Rhinolophus ferrumequinum: one gene and its partner. The protein of the gene in region 1 interacts with the protein of each later gene in a biochemical or structural test. Links are inferred from orthologs where the notes say so. Each region holds a gene or a part of one and is shown on either strand. Other genes may lie near its edges.

The links.
Region 2: the proteins of TRIM7 (region 1) and RNF187 interact in a test that uses a peptide from one of them, tested with the Homo sapiens proteins (2 studies listed by BioGRID, with this or other methods). The link is inferred for Rhinolophus ferrumequinum from reciprocal best matches to the Homo sapiens genes TRIM7 and RNF187.

Annotation. Positions count from the first base shown.
Region 1 is NC_046307.1:4,162,977-4,171,162, forward strand, and holds the start of TRIM7 (E3 ubiquitin-protein ligase TRIM7), read right to left. Parts: upstream 3,782-8,186; 5' UTR 3,573-3,781; coding exon 3,066-3,572; intron 2,213-3,065; coding exon 2,117-2,212; intron 1-2,116. UniProt on the Homo sapiens protein: E3 ubiquitin-protein ligase that have both tumor-promoting and tumor-suppressing activities and functions in several biological processes including innate immunity, regulation of ferroptosis as well as cell proliferation and migration.
Region 2 is NC_046307.1:1,320,901-1,329,086, reverse strand, and holds the start of RNF187 (E3 ubiquitin-protein ligase RNF187), read left to right. Parts: upstream 1-3,463; coding exon 3,464-3,508; intron 3,509-3,965; coding exon 3,966-4,149; intron 4,150-8,186.

The DNA of each region.
Region 1 (8,186 bases):
GAAAAGTAGGAAGAGAAAGGAAGATCAATGCCAGTGACCAGAGGTAACAGCACACCCACAATGACCCAAGTGAGAATATGCTGTGTGCAGGCTTCATATTCTATTCTTTCCATTACCATTATCCACAGGATTTACACTCGTGTGTTTTCAGACACAGACTCATGCTCCTGACTCTTTACATGAACATGTGGGGGGGCTGTACATGACATAACAAGCAAGACCTCTCCCTCATGGCCAGTGAGAAGTGAGAAGGATTCTGTTCCTCCAGCACAAGCTCTACTATCAGTTCCTCTTCCCTGAAAAACTCCAAGGAAGAGGAGACTGTGGATGGGTTTTGAAATCAGGAGACCTGGGTTCAGGCCATGGCTCCCCCAGGACCTTCATCACCTGGACACTGGGCAAGCAGGCAGCAGCAGCATAGGGCTTTTACAGGTGTTAACTCACTCACCTCTGACAACAACCCAATGGCGTGGGTGTACTCTCATCCCACTTAACAAATGAGGGGATAGAGGCATGTGACCAGTAAGTGGAAAGCCAGTATTCTAACCCCAGAGTCTGACACCAGAGTCTGAACTTCTTGCAACTATACCATATGGCCTCCCAAAGAAATAGCAAGTGGAACAATATTAGCCAAAATACTCTAAATCGGGGTAACCCTGGTGCTATTGACATTTGAGACCACACAATTCTTTGTTATGGAGGGCTGTGCTGTAGGATGCTTAATCAGCACCCTGGCCTCTTCCACTAAATACCAGTAGCACACTGCCCCCAGACAATGAAAAATATCTCCAGACTTTGCTAAATGTCCCCTGGGGGGCAAACTGCCCCGTTGAGAACCACTCCTCTAAATGCTAAGAGCATTTTCAAATAAAAGCATTTACTTTCCTTGTTATGCAGCAAGAGTCCTCTACCTCTGTTGTTTCATTAAGCAGGTATTTTGTAATTCTAAAGAATGTGAGGGCCAGAGGGGTGGTGGATTGGCAGAGGAAAGAGAGGAAAGTGCTAGGCAGTGTCATGGTGGGTGGGGTCAGAGACCGGAAGCTGCCCTCACTGTGGAAGTTCCTCTGGGTCCCAGATGGAAGAGTCACACACTCTTGTCTCCAGTAGAGGAGGGCTGGGCCCTTCCTTGTGGAGGGAAGTGAATGATCAGATGGGAAAGCTGGATGCACACTGGAGGCAGGTGCACCAGATGCAACTGAGGGTCAGGAAAGGACCCTGGGGCATCTGAATCCAGGGTCTTCCCCTCCACACCACCCCCTACCCACCGTGAGGCTAGGAGGGTCCTCAAGTTCCTCTTCCTCCAATTCCCAAATCCAGAATTGAATGGGCCCTGTCCTAACAGGCTCTAGTAAATCCTTTCATTCTTTTAAGACCAATTTACTGAGCTAAGAACTTTATTTGAGAGGTAGAAAATTACAGACCGTGACCCAGGTTTGCCCGCCCTAACCAAAATGAGCCCCAGTTCACTTTCCTGTTCCATTGTAAAGACGACAAAAATATCGTCCCTACCCACCAGGGGGCGCTATGCACACAAGGCTGCTGGAAACCTGTCCGCAAATCTTCGTTTAACTGGACCTTTAGCTAGACCAGAAGCAGCTGACAGCCACTGAGCCGCCTGCCACTTAGCCTCAATTTCAAAACTTTAAAACCTTTAAAATTGAAAAAAGGTTTTTTCATAACTCTTTTGGTGGCAAAACATGCCCTGGACAAACATGAGGCTATTTTACTGTATTTATGTCTCCACTTAGTATGAACATTCACGTCTCTACAGAAACATTAATGCGTTCAAATACAAGATGCTACCACAGGCCTTCATTGGGGTGTTATGTAACATTAAGGTAACTATACATCCTGATTCACTGGGACGGTTCCAGTTAAGCCAGCTATTCTAGAACGATTATTTTAGCACTCCTTTTCACTCTCCAAAGCTTTGGCTATAGAATAAAGTGTACGGTCACCCTATATAATATGAACCCTGTTATCGTTCTAAAGTCCATCTCTACTGTTTCACAGGCACACACTCCAACACACATCAAAAACAGCCAGGGTGGTGGGAAGCCGGCCCTCTGTTGTTGTGGGGTGGCTCTGGGGAGGCACCTGGGGGTACCGGGCTCACCAGGAGCTCCTTGCTCTCCTTCTCTTCCGTGGAACGAAACATCTCATAGTCCTCCAGATCCTTCTTCAAGATCTTCAGCCTGGACTCCAGGAGTTCCTAGAGGAGGGTGAGAAGGGAGAATTGTGAGGCGAGGATCCAGGAGAAAGGAAGGCCCTCATAGAGGAGGTCTGGATGGGATGGATACTGTCTGAGCAGACTGCACATAGGGGACAGGGCAACTTCTGGGTGACGCCAAACGCCCCTGAGTCTCACTTCTCCAAGACCATCTGCGCACATTCTGGCTGAAACACAAGACCCTCCCCGGCCCCAGCAGCCCAACGCCTTGTCCTTCCTGCTCTCCTCTCCACTAGAAATCCCTCTGTGTGGAAGGGTTGGATCAGTGTAAGGAGCAAAGAAAACAAAGACTGGGAACTGTGTGCCCGAGGCCTCCGTGCACATCTCAGCTGAGGCCCCAACAAGGAGACAGGAAAGAAACGAGCCCGGAATTAGCAGCTTTGACACAGCCCAGACGGCTCTCTCCGCGCTCTACTCAACCCTGGCGCCACCCATCCTTGCCGGATCTCTTGGGAAAAGTCGTCTCACTTAAGTAAAGAGCCTAGAGTGGGGACAGCGGTTGTGTGGGTGTGCCCAAAATGCCGCTAGAGGCCGGGAATGGACTGAAAGACAATCGCCAAATCTGGCGGTCATTGCGCAGGCGTTCCAGTATGAGGCACAGAGGAAAATGTGAGGGGGGTTGGGGGGTACTATTGGTGTGGGGGTGACAGAGGGAGAGCCACGCTCGGTCCCAGAGCCAGTGTTGGGCAGCATGGGATAGGAGAAAGGAGGCACTGCCTGCCCTCTCTTAATACCTGGGCCTCCTGCCTGTCGTCCGCACTGAGTGGGCGGACGGCAGGACCAGGACCGGGACCGGGGCTCGCGGGGGCTGGCAGGAGTGGGGCCAGACGCTCACCTTAGCCTCCTGCACTGCCTCCTCGAGCGGCAACACAGCGTGCGCACGGTGCTCGCGGGCGCGGTCGCACACCACACAAATGGCACGTCCGTCGTCCTGGCAGTAGAGCTTGAGCGGTTCGCCGTGCTGCGCGCACCCGGCCGCCACCGCCTCTGGGGAATCGCGTTCGTTTCGCGCGGCCGCCGGCAGGCTGAAGCGCCGCAGTAAAGCGGCGACTGCGGCCAGCTGGCGGTTGGGCCGCAGCTGGCCGGGCCGCGCAGGCTCACGGCACTGCGGACACGGGAGCGGGCAGAGCAGCACGCGGGGGCCGGCGGTAGACCCCGCGCCCGGGCGCTCCCAGCAGCGCGCGATGCATGCGCGGCAAAAGCTGTGGCCGCACTCGACGGACACGGGGTCACGGAAGAGTTCCAGGCAGATAGAGCACGTCGCCTCGCCTTGCAGCTCCGCCGCCAATGCCAGCGCCTCGGCCCCGGCGCCCGGGCCGCTCCGCGGCCCCACTGCCGCCATGCGCGCCCTCAGCGCACGCAAATCGGGCGGTGCTTGGGAGAACTGGGACCAGATAGTACGCGGCTGAGAGCGCCGCGGCCAGGGCGGGCCTCCCGCCGCCCACTGGGGGGATGGGCGCGGCTGGCGCTGGCGGGCGACACCGCCGCTAGGGGCGCGCCCAGCTGGAAAACCCACCCCGAGGGCGCGCCTGCGGGCCAGGAGGCGCAGCGAGGTGGTCTTAGTGCGAGCTTGCGTCCCCCCACTCAGGACCCCTCAGTCCCCGGCCTTGGCCCGCAGCCTCCTCGGCCCCATAAGGCCCTCTCTCCGCCTCCCTCCTCGCTCAGCCCCTCCAGACCGCCCCAGCCTGACTCAGTCAGCTGTAGGAAACAAGCCGGGACAGGTGGGTGCACACGCCCAGCTGGGCGCCACTCCTGAATGGCGCCCTACGCTGACCCCGCACGGCCCAGGCTAGGGCCTGGCACCCGGACCACAGTGTCAGGTTACCGGAGTGCGGGTTTGTCCCCGCCCTGTGCTGAGCTAAATTTGGAATCTGGAACCTGGCTCTTGCCTCCCCAAAGTGTGGCCTTATATCCACCTCTGTGCCTACCTTTTTTGCTGTCCCCTCCCCCCTTGTTTATTCTTTAATTTTTGTTTAACAAGTAATACATTTACAATAAAATTTCCCACTTTACTAGGTGTTATCCCCCCGAAAAAACCCAACCCTCTATTGTCCCTCCAGTATCATTTGCTTCCACACCCTCTCTCATGCCCTCTGGAGGCCACTGGGGTCAAGCTTTCGCCCGTACCCTCCTCAGAAATCGCTCTTATCAAAGTCACCAGTGACCTCCGCGATCCTAACCCAAAGGCAAAGGCCCCTTCTTGCTACCGTGTTAAAGGTCCGGTTGCTCGCCCCACGAAAGCCAAAACTCGAAAGGCGAGGTTGGAAAAAACAAGTTTATTCCAAAATGCCAGTTAAGGGAAGACAGTGGACTCTTATCACAAAGACTGCCTGCCCTCTCTTAATACCGCCAAAGGTTTTATAGGCATGTAAGGACAGGCCAAACAAAGGAAAGGCGAATTGATCAGGCAATTCTTGAAAAAGGCACTTCCCAGAGGCTGGTTTGTTTCAGGGATAGGAGGGGTCTTCGGATGATGTAAAAACTTCTTTCAAGTCTTTGAGCCAGGTTATGCATACGGTCTGGAGTAAACAGAACCACTGAAACTGGTATACATAGTAAATGTATAGCAAACAGACTCCTGGAGGTTTGGCAGGAAGGGAGGGAAGCAAAGAAAAAAACTTTCAAGAAATCCCAAGCCAAACAGTGCTTCCTCCTTCCTCACACCTTCTTAGCGCCTCCCAGGCTCTCCCAGCTAGCGCCATGACCTGCTACCTCCATCTCCTCTCCCTGACCTGGCTCAGTCCTTGAACCTCTGTCTGTATTCACTCCCTTGTAATCTCTTACACTTTCTGGGCCTGAATGACCCTCTCCCTGCTGCCACCACAATACACAACCCCAGCCCACGTCCCCCTAAGATGCCTGGATCCCACATCCAACTCCAGGTTGCATCTCCACCTGCGTGTGCTAAGGGGCGTCACTGTGTCCACAGCTGTACTTCTGATCTGCCCCACCACATGCTCCTCCTACAGCCTTCCTCATCCCATCCTATTTAACAGCAACTCCATCCCTCCAGGTGCTCAGGTCAAAACTGGGGACTCCTCTGTAACGCCAAGAGGAAAAAATTGCACACAACCTACCACCAGTCCTCAGCATGTCCACACCCTCTCACCTCCTCCACTGCACCATCTCCAGTAGGCAACAGTCTCTCCCCTTTTGCCCCACTCCCCTATCTTCTCCACTCAGTTGTGACAACAATTATGTTTAAGTCAAATCATGGCCCTCCTCTGCTCAAACCCTCCAGTGGCTCTCACCTCTCTCAGAGTAAAAGTCAGAGTCTTTACTATTGTCCAAAAGCTCTACACATTCTTCCCCATCCCTGCACCCGGCCTCTCAACTCTCATCTCCTACCACTCCCAACTGTTGACTCCCCTCCTGCTACGTGGAACTCCTTGCTGTTCTGCAACATGTCAGAAAGATCCTACCTTTGAACTGGTTGTTCCCTTTAGTTGGACCTCTCTTCTCCCAGATACATGTATGGTTCACTTCCCACCTCCTTCAAGTCTTGTTTTAAATATCACCTTTCTCAGTGAAGCCTGCCAGGACCACACTGTTTAAATCACACCTTACTACATTCTCTCTCTCAATGCTCCAGCACTCTAACTCCTCTGGAACACGAGCTGTTAGAGAGGATGGGCTATGTTCATTTTGTTCACCGTTAGACTCCGTTTTCTAGAGCAGTTCTAGGTACCTAATAGGCGCTCTGTAAACTTTTCTTGGATTGAATTTATTTGGAGGTAGCTCAAAATTCAGATATACAGGGCGGTTCACATTGAAAAGTCTGCCGATAGCCTGCACACCAGTCCCCTCCTCATCTCAAATAATCCTGAATTATTTTACAAATAATTGTAAATGATTATTTGTAACATAATGATTCTGAATTATAATACAAATATTATTCATATTTACTACACTCCCCGTTCTTTTTGTTTTACAAAAGTAGTGTCCTTCACAGTCTTTTTTTCGGTTTATAGTTCATTTTGAGCACCTCGTCAAAAGACCTCCCCTTTTTCCACCGCTGCCTCCAGGTTTTCATCCCTGCTTTGTCCTCTCCCGGGAGTCTCTCGGTCAAGGTCCTCTCACCTGCAGTCACTCAGTAGAGGACCCTGGAACTCCTTGTTTGGCTGCCGAGGGGTTTTGCATCCTCGGGGTTGTTGCACCTGACCGATAGTGTCCACCTCCCTGCACCCTGCCCCAGTAAACTGCTAACAGAATGCAGGGAGCCAACCTTATACCAGTGGGGATGTAGCTCAGTGGTAGAGCGCATGCTTTGCATGTATGAGGCCCCGGGTTCGATCCCCGTCATCTCCAGCGCAGGGAAGCGCTCTTTTTGTTTGCTCTCTTTCCACGTTTCGCAACGTTATTTGCACAGGCCGGGAGGAAAAACTCCGTATCATGGCGTTTGCAACCCATTGCAGGTATCCGCTGCGGCTCTCACCTACTCCCATCCCTTGACTCTGCCTTACAACTCCGGATTTTAAATAAATCAAAGGGTGGCATCAGGATGCGCACGTTTTCATTCCGAGCCGTGAGCTTCCCGGGGATGAAAAAGAGCTAGGTCGCTGACTGGCAGAGGACAGCAAGCAGAAAACGGACGGGAAGTGGGAAGGTCAGTCAGGCAGGATCGTCAGAATGTGAGTTTCGGGGCTGCCAAGAGCCTTTTAATGGCCGGATCATACTCTTAACTAAGCCGAATTTGAAACGTGGAGCTGGAATCTACCCAAATCCCACCATGATGTAACAACTATTAATAACAGTTGTTAAAAGCCCCAGCTGGCCCGCCCGGCTAGCTCAGTCGGTAGAGCATGAGACTCTTAATCTCAGGGTCGTGGGTTCGAGCCCCACGTTGGGCGAGAGTCACATTTTGCCCTTAACCTAAGGTCATATGAAACAATTCCATTGCCTGACCCGATCTCCAAAAGACAAAGAAATCCCAGTGGAAATTTCCTGTGTATGGCATTCGTTTTGCCTTTTTGTGGCTATACATAGTACCTTGTTTATTCACTAACCTTGCCTGTATCTGCTAACAAAATGAGTTTTAAAAATTATACAAAATATGAGTAACAAAATTTACCATTTTAACCATTTTTTAAGTTCTCCAGCTTTAAACACATTCACATTGTTGTGCAACCATCACCACAACCCATCTCCATAACGTTTTCATCTTCCCCAAGTGAAACTACTCAGTAAACAGTAACTCTCCATTCTCTCCTTCCCCCAGCCCCTGGCATTCTACTTTCCGTCTCTGTGAATTTGACTACTCTAGGTATCTCATATAAGACGAATCATACAATACTTGTCCTTTTGTGACCCGCTAATTTCACTTAGGGTAACAACTTGAAGCTTCAGATCAATGATGATTTCCTCATATGGAAACACACAAACACACCACAAGCAGAACTGACTCCGGGTGGTGAACACACAATGGGATTTACAGATGATGTAACACAGAATTGTACACCTGAAATCTATGTAATTTTACTAACAATTGTCACCCCAATAAATTTAAAAAAAAAAAAAACACACCATAACTTGAAGCTTCATCCATGTTGTAGCATGGATTTCCTTTCCTTTAAGGCTGAATAATATTCCATTGTATGTATATACTATTACATTTTGTTTATCCATTCATCTATTAATAGACACTTGGGCTCCTTCCACTTTTTGGCTATTGTAAATAATGCCACTATGAACTTGGGTATACAAATATCTGTTTGAGTTCCTGCTTTCACCTCTTTTAGGTATATACCAGAAGTGGAATTCCTGATCATATGGTATTTCTATATTTAATTTTTTTGAGGAAACTCCATACCATTTTCCACAGAGTCTCCACCACAAAATGAGTTTTACCCACATCTTTGAGTAGGTACACTAATATTGCTCAAAAACTGAACCATCTATAAAAATATTCAGTGAAAAGCAGCTAACTTCCACTATTCCTCCTTAGATAACAACTTGT
Region 2 (8,186 bases), about 2.8 Mb from region 1:
TAAGGAAACAGCTTTCACAGTCACAGTCTTTCCCCCGTACCCATCAATGCAGATTGCTGGTCCGGGGAAGAGTTCTGGGTTCCCATAAGCAAGACTTCAGTCTGCGCCAGTGTCAACAAGTGCCAAAACCCTCTGCACATTAGAAGGGGACCAATGTATGGACAGTTCCACGTGGGGCCTCTGGTCCCTGCTGTCCCCTCTGACCGGGTACCTTGGCCCCAGCCCTAATCAAGCTGAAAGGAGTCGGCCTCAAGTGGCCGCATGAAGTCCTGGAGGGACACGGGTCGCGCTTTCCCAGACTTCTCCTTTAGGCTTCTCTGGAATTGCTGTTCGCGATGCAACTGTTTCCAAAGTTCCAGCAGGAGTTTATTGTGTTGTCGGTCTATTTTCTCCTGATCGACCCCTGCTGCCACAAGATCATGCCACATCTGTGCGCGTGTTGCTCTCTGAGGCCCGCGACCTCACCCCTTTACTTTTGATTTGGGCTTCCAGGTCTCAACTGCGCGGACGTCCTGTCTTAACTTCCTTCGCCTCTGGCTTTCAACATACTCTAGGGTGACCATGGCAGTTGTAACTTCATGGATCCGTCACCCCACATAGAGCGTAAGAATGGCAACTAAGGATCCAAAGGCACTCGCAGGTACAGTATCCAAAACCAGATCTTTCATGCTGGCTGTAAAGAGCTCGTCATCAGGTCCCTGCATAATAGGGTTGAAAATAGCATGTCTCATACCCATTTCATGGATGATTTGCGTAAGTTCCATATATGACTGCCATTGACTCACAGTGTCTGGCAGCTCGCCAGCCTGTCCCCATACTGTGCGTACAGCAGCAATGAGTCACTCCATTAGAGTGGTTGCCCTGGTCTTGGGCCAACCTATGGCAGTTCTGTAACCTTTGTCGCAGGGACAGATGCACTGTCACAAAGGCTAGCTTTTCCATCTCTCCTGGGGAGCAGAGAATGTTGTCTGCTCCCTCATCCCATAAACGTAGTAGCGGAGACTGGCTCTCCAGGGCGCTGTCTGTACCGCCTCCCCAGCTCCTGCAACTCAGTGGGAGTGTAAGGGGTGTAGGTTGTGAACTCAGTCACAGCTGGGTTGCCGGCGGGGCCCAAAGGTTGCTCATGCTTTACCTTTTGTTTCAAGATTGGCTGGGCTTGGGGGTTAGGAGCTGTATTGTCTCCACTCGCCTCCTCCGCCTCTGCCTCACAGTCTCCACTGTGGGGCCCCTCTTCTAACAGGGGGACCCGAGCTTCCAGCGCCTCCAACTGGGAGACCTGGTCCGGCACCTGGGCTATTTCATTAGGCGCATTTTCCGTGTTGAGACTCAAGGCGGTGAGGAACATCCAGCCCACGCGGCCGGCTGTAGCCTTCTCCTCCTCCGGCAACTGCTCAGCCAGAGCCTGCAGGGCCCTCTCCACCCTGGCTGGAGAGCCATCCATGTCTTCCCACCCCTCCTTGGGGGTCCAACTCCTGAGAACAGTGGCCACTGGGCACCACACACTGTGTGGGGGCCACACGTCCTCCTGCCCAGAGTCAGACTCCATTCCTACCTGGTTGGAATCCTGCTCACCGTGCCAGAGGTCTGAGTGGGTGGTGGCCTCGGTGTATAATGTCCACAACCCTCGGAGCCTACAGCAGAAGCAGATCAACAAAAAGAGGACAACACCTTCCATGGCCAAGAGGGAAGTGCGCCATCTGGACGCTCGAGTCTCCCAGGCAGATCGCTCCCGGTGTCACTCCTCGCCGGCCTCCCGAAGCTGAACTTTTGTACGCATAAACTGCTCCACCATCCTCCGGTGAGTTTTGCCCAGCACCATACCCTGCTGTGCCATTTGTCATGCGGGGTCTCTGGTCCCGCTCCCCACATAAGAACATAGGATATGGTGAGGCCAAAAAGGAACACCCACAGAGCCATAGGTAGGGGAGTCATACCACTATATTCTCGCTGGCGGCTGGATTCACACGACCTGCGACCTGCTGTCTGCTTTTCTGCCAACCGACCGACGACTCAACTCTCCACCACAGCTGCGACACTTATATCAGTGGCCAATTGGCTAACCGGCCACAGCTGACGGCCAACTAGCCACAGCCAACTGCCATCTAGTACCCGAGCCAGCACCTTTCCACGTGAGGCTGAGAGCCTGGAAACTGCTCTCTGGGGCTCTGTTCCCACAGCAGTCTAAAAAGATGAGGTAATAGCCTCTTGTCAATCCCAGACGTCAATCAAGTGGACCTATGCCCGGAAAGGAACATCCCATTTGAGAGAAAAAGAGATCAAAACCACCAAGGTCTGGTTAGCCGGGGCCATTGAGCCATTCTCTGCTGCTCTGGTCGCTTCTATTTCTTTGGAGTGTACTGTCTTTTCTAATAAACTACTCTTTCACCACTTTATTTCCGTGTCTGGTTCAATTCTTTGCTGGAGAAGCCAAGAACCTAGACTTCGCGCCAAGAAGGGCCCACTCTCCGGTAATAGTTGCGGCTGAGAGCTCTTGGAAGGCGGGGGTGAAATCACAGGGCGTGCTGGGGAGCTCTGCAGAGGAGGAAAGCCTTACCTAATGTCAGCCGGATTTCGAAGAAGGAAAAGACTGCCAGGCAGCTTCTGTCCTCTGGACAGCTCCCAGCGATCCCGCGCACAAAAGCAGTCCTCCCGTCACGCAGGGAATGCCCGCGTGGTGGGGACTGGGGACACTTCTCTCCAAGGCCCTGCCCCCTCTCTGCACGGACACCCGGGTGCAGGACCCGAGATAAAGCAGGTGCTGGCCTGTATCAATCCCGCCCAAGGTGGCGGCATCGCTTCCTGGGGTGGTCCTTCCTAAACGCCCACGTCGGCCAAAGCCGCTCCTGTGTCCATTTCCATTTTGTTTCAGAAAATAGAAAAGACAAGGTCTGCAATCAAATCCCAGCGGCAGGTGTGAGTCAAGTACAGGCGACCACAGCAGCGGAGATGGGACAGGGCCGCGCAGCCGGCTCTGAGAGGCAGCAGCGTGCCCTGTGATGGAGGCGCAGGCTGCGGAACATGTGAATTGCGTTCCAGCCTCAGCGCCACACGGACGCGCGGCCACGCGGGAGAGCACAGCCGCTCCCGGGGCTCCAGAACTGCATGGTCCTAAGGGGCAGACTGCAGGTGCCCAGGGGTCCGGGACCCCGCCGCCGCCAGAGCGGAGCCGCTCCCGCTCTACGATCGGTGTGATCTCCCCTCCCCAAGTGTGCGCTGTATATATTTCTCTTATTTTCATTTCCTATCTAAGCCCAGAAATTAAAGTATCTTAAGGGGTGTTCAACCCAGTAGCAGTGGAGGAGATACAGAAAACACATAGATCTGAAAACACAAGACTAAGGAGATTTTATGACAAGAATTTTCTATATTCTATGTTTATATTCCTATTTATATATTTACATGAGAGGTGGTCTGGACCTGAGAAGGGAGAGCTGTGGGGCGGGGGGAGGGATGTCGGAGGGGTATGGCGGGCAGCCGGCCTGACGCCGACATACCCCAGACACCCCAGGTCCGTCCGCGGCTTTTTCTAAAATCCCCCTTGGGACTCCACAGCAGCCGCACTCCTGCATTACACGCCTATCAGGAAGTCAGGAGTACACCCAAAGATGCGTGAAAACATTATGGCACAAATGAGCATAAATCCCAACAAGTTCCAGACTCAGACACCTAACCGAGCGGCCAAGCAAAGACAGTAGAATAAAGGAAGCTTTGGAAAGCTCCGGAAGGAGCTTCAGCCAATCGATTTGTCGTGGGGGGCGGGCTGGATTGAATTTGAACCAATTCAGACGGGCCATTCAGATAAATACCAGAGGCTGCAGTTTGTGGCTGGTCTGACGCCGACGGCCTGAGACTGCGCTTGAGCGGGCCTACTGGGAAGGGGAAGCCCCTGTCCCCACCCCGAGCGTCCCTGTACCAAGGTACTCCTGCTCTCCGGTACTCCTGCGCTCCCATACTCCTTTATCCAGCACCCCTGCAATCCCGGTCCCCGCGCCCGTACAGCCGGGGACGCTTGCACTGCTGCCGCCCTGAAGTCCCACCGCCTGTGCTGTCCTCCCTACGCCTTGTGCGCCCGCCTAGCCGGACCCCAGCGCCAGACCCGCCTGGAGGACTGCGGTCACCCCCTGTATACCTTCCCCACCAGGCGATCTGGTACTACAGCACAGCATTGAAGTATACAGGTGGTACCAAAAATATGTATACACATTTTAAGAAAGGAAAAAAATTATTAAAACTGTAATACTCAATATATACTGATAACAAAAGATGAATACAAGTCACGTTTGACTTCTGCAATTACAAGAGGTGCTCAGAGTGTTTACCATCAATCAGCGTTTAGACACATCTGATTACTGCAAACTACCACTTGAGCAACTGTTGACCAAAATGTCCACTTGTATACATTTTTTGACACCCTCCTCCCCCTGTATTTATATTATGCTATTCATACAATGGTTGAATTACTACTCACTCTTAGTGGCTCAAGGCTCACTACCATCACAGGTCTGTGTGAGGCCCCTCTTGTTTACATCCATACATGTATATATGTATCTGTATCCCCAAATGTGTTTTCCTGTGATGCCCATTTTTTCTGACTCTGACCTTCCACTTGGCAACCATTCTATTTTGTTTACTACATTGTTTTGGGGTGAATTCTGACAAAATGTGTATTCTTCAGTGTTCATACTGCACACTTAATTTACATAAGTCCCATGCTAGACATGCTGCTTTCTTCATTCTGCCCAGTTCTTCAGCTCCACCCACACTTCTGTGGGTATAGAGTGCATTACTTCCTGTTCTGTAGTTCCTCAGTGGAGGCCACACATTTCCTCTCTTCACTTCTGGCTGTTGGACCCTGAGATTGCTCCCAACTTTGATCTCCTGCCGGTGCCCACATTTTGTGCTGAAAAACCTCAGACATTTGTAAGAATTAGGTTATTTATGGAACCGGCAATTAACAGTAAATACGTTTAGGTACTAGATCATAGAGTCTAGAGATATAGGGTATAGGCTTTTAACTTCAATTGCTTTGGTTGTCACATAGCTTATAGTCAAAGATTAAGAAAGTATGTTAGCCACTTATAGTCAAAGATTATAAAGTATGTTAGTCATGTCCTGAAGGCCTGCCTGTAAAGGTTCAGGAGAAGTGTGTGAAAGTACATGTTGCTTGAGACAATAGAAAGATGTAGCTAGTAAGGCACAAAATGATAGCTTAAACAATAACGATGGTCATGAGATGCTTAGTTTCTGCTTTTTGTTTTAAAGATAACCTCACTGACTGCACTGATGAGATGTTTTGCAGAACTTGGCTTCAACCCAGCCAGATAACCTGACCACAGTGAGGAAGTCACCAGAGATTGCAGGCACTAAATTAATCAGCCGGAGGAAAACCACTGAAGCTTCCATAAGAACTAACTAATTTACCCTTGACCTCTAACCCTAATTTCAGCCTTTAAAAATCCCTCAAAATACTGATCGAAAAAAAATGCATGAGAAGTAGTTTTCAGTGTAGAAAGGAAAATGGTTTGATATTGAACTGGCCAATCCAGAGCCGGGGAGTTTATGCTCTAAAGACCTGACTCCCTGATGGCGTGTAGGTTACAGATTGTGTGGTGCAAAATCACACAAGATAAAAAAATCACAATATACCATGGATTGGAGGTTGGGTTGTACTGAGAGGTAAGGGTAATGCATCATTTCTTATAAATAATCCAGGTCTTGAGGACAGTCCTGAAGTCTTTCCCGGAGTCCCTCTTTCTGGTCTCATAGGAAAGCAGCCAGGGTGTTGTTCCGCCTTAGGGCTCAGGAGCTGAAACATAACTTAGGTGAAGATGTTATCTTATCTTGCCAGAAGTCCAGACTTTGTGACCTTTGGTCAGGTCCTGGCTACTGTCTTCCGCTGCCTTGGGGTTTATGATTATCAAGGTGTTGCCATAAAAAGAAAAAATGGTTCTTGGTGTATGCCACAGGAAAGAATTCAAGAAGGCACCTAATAAGCCAAACAAGCAGCTTTATTAAAAGGATAGTACACTTTCAAGGTGAAGAGAGCAGGCAGGTCTGGAGAAGAGCAGCTGCTCCAAAGAACAATGAGACTTGGGAATTTATCTCACTAAAAATGAAGGTGCGAAATATTCCAGAGTTAGGGGTGGCCTTATAGACATTCCTAGGTGGGTCCTTGCTGACCACTCCTTCCCATGGAGGAGGAATTTTTGTCCTTATTTGGCTCGGTCGGACATGTCCTGGTGACACAGGGGGGTGGAGATTTTCACTAACCACAATGCTAATCATATTATAATCCATATAATTAGCTAAAGTTCATCTTGAGGGGCAAGATGGCCTCCTGGATCTGCTCTTGAAATCTAATCTAGTTCTGGCCAGTCTGGTAGCTGCACTTTTTCTTAGGGAGAATCTCATCTCCCTCTTTTGTCTCCCTCACCTCCTCCTTGCCTTCCTCGCCAGGTCCTATTCTTTCTGCCTATGGTAACAAAGAAAAAGGCTAGGTCTCTGAGAGGTGTAGAGAGAAAGAGGGATATGATTTCTAAAGCTAGTCACAAATCAAATCAAAATTGCGAGGACCCTTGGTTTCAGTAAGTTGTACTTTTTCGTCCTATTTCTGCCTAAGAGAAATGAAAATTAATTACTTTCCTTTTCCAGGCGCCGGATATGAAATGTCCAAGGAATCAGACCTTCATCTAAACACATCTAAACATATCGTTAATAATTTCCCTATACACATAGCCGACAGTCTCTTTCCCATTCCTTTCTGTACACCCTGGTTTGTGAGAACAGAACTTAAAATAGGGTAAACCAAAATGCAATAAAACACACATGAAATACACAAGGTAATTGTGGGATTGCAATTTCCTGTAATAAAAACTGTTAGGAAGGAAAAAAAACGTTTTCCTCTACCCATTTCAGGCTCACTGACTGGGGCCCCATAAATTAGACTGGCAAACAGATTAACAAGAGAAACACAGTGTATTAATGTGTGCAGCATACATCATCACCTGGGAGAAACCTCAGCAATGTTACTCAAAGGGGTGTTTAGAACTTGGGTTTATCTAGCATCTTAACGTAGAATACATTTGTAGAGAAGTAACAGAAAGGAAACAAATTTTAGGTTTCCAAGGGTGGCAAGCCATGGGAAGGTAAATATTTGGGGGGAAGCTAATGGAAGATAGGGCTATTAGTGCAGGTCCACCTTGGCACCATCTTTCCTCTTCTTCATGGCCATAAAACTTTCCTGGAAGAAGGGCTTTACAGCAGTTCTCATTTCTCAGAGTTTCTGCATTTAGTCAGGTGGGGGAAGCAGTGGGAGGGCGTCTTTCCACATCTGTTGATTGTCATTTGTCCCCCACTCAAAATAATCCTCCTGCCAAAGAGGCACATTTTGGGGTAGTGTGGCCTGCTACTCTTCAGAATCCTTGACTTTTGTTCTAGTGGTCTATATTTTTGTTGCCTTTTTTTTAAAAAAAACTAATTTGTCACACTCTTATAGAAAATACTCAGATTTTTTCATTGCTGCCAATTTAATCCCAAAACATTTTATATTAAACCACTTAAAATACAATCTTGAGAAAAAGGAAGACGGTTCACAACCTAGAAAAATTGGGATTTCTCCCTTTTCAAGGTGAAATGTTCCCTTATTTAGTTCTTGGGTGTCAGCGCAATGGGAATTCAAGCACCAAGACCTCCAGAGCCCAGCAGATGTCTTACTGTCTCGCAGGTATTTATGAAATGTAATACTGAGCAATGATCCAGACCTCCACCTACTCCAATTTGGCCTCTGACCTAAAAGTGGGTTCTTTAGTTTTCTAGATGGTTCAAAAGGCAGATGGGAGAGCATGCACACCTTCCTTGTCTTCTCTCCACCAACCCTTGTTCTCAAATAGCACCTGGCTAAACCTCTCACCTGGAGGGTGCAGAGGAGACCTCGAAAGGGAGAGGGAGGATGGAGGGAGAAATGCCAAGTGATTCCTTTGAATCTGTCTAGGGTGGTGTGATGTGACTTATAATCAGAATTATGTATTTGGTCTTCATCTACCGTTGCCAGCACAGAGCTTCTAAAACTCTTGGAATCTCCTGAGATGAGAAGGGTGACGTTGTCCTGATATTCATAATTTAAACCCCTGTCAACCACCCCTTAGTTTATGTTAATGAGGTGATTTTTGGAAAGCCTGTTAAGGATG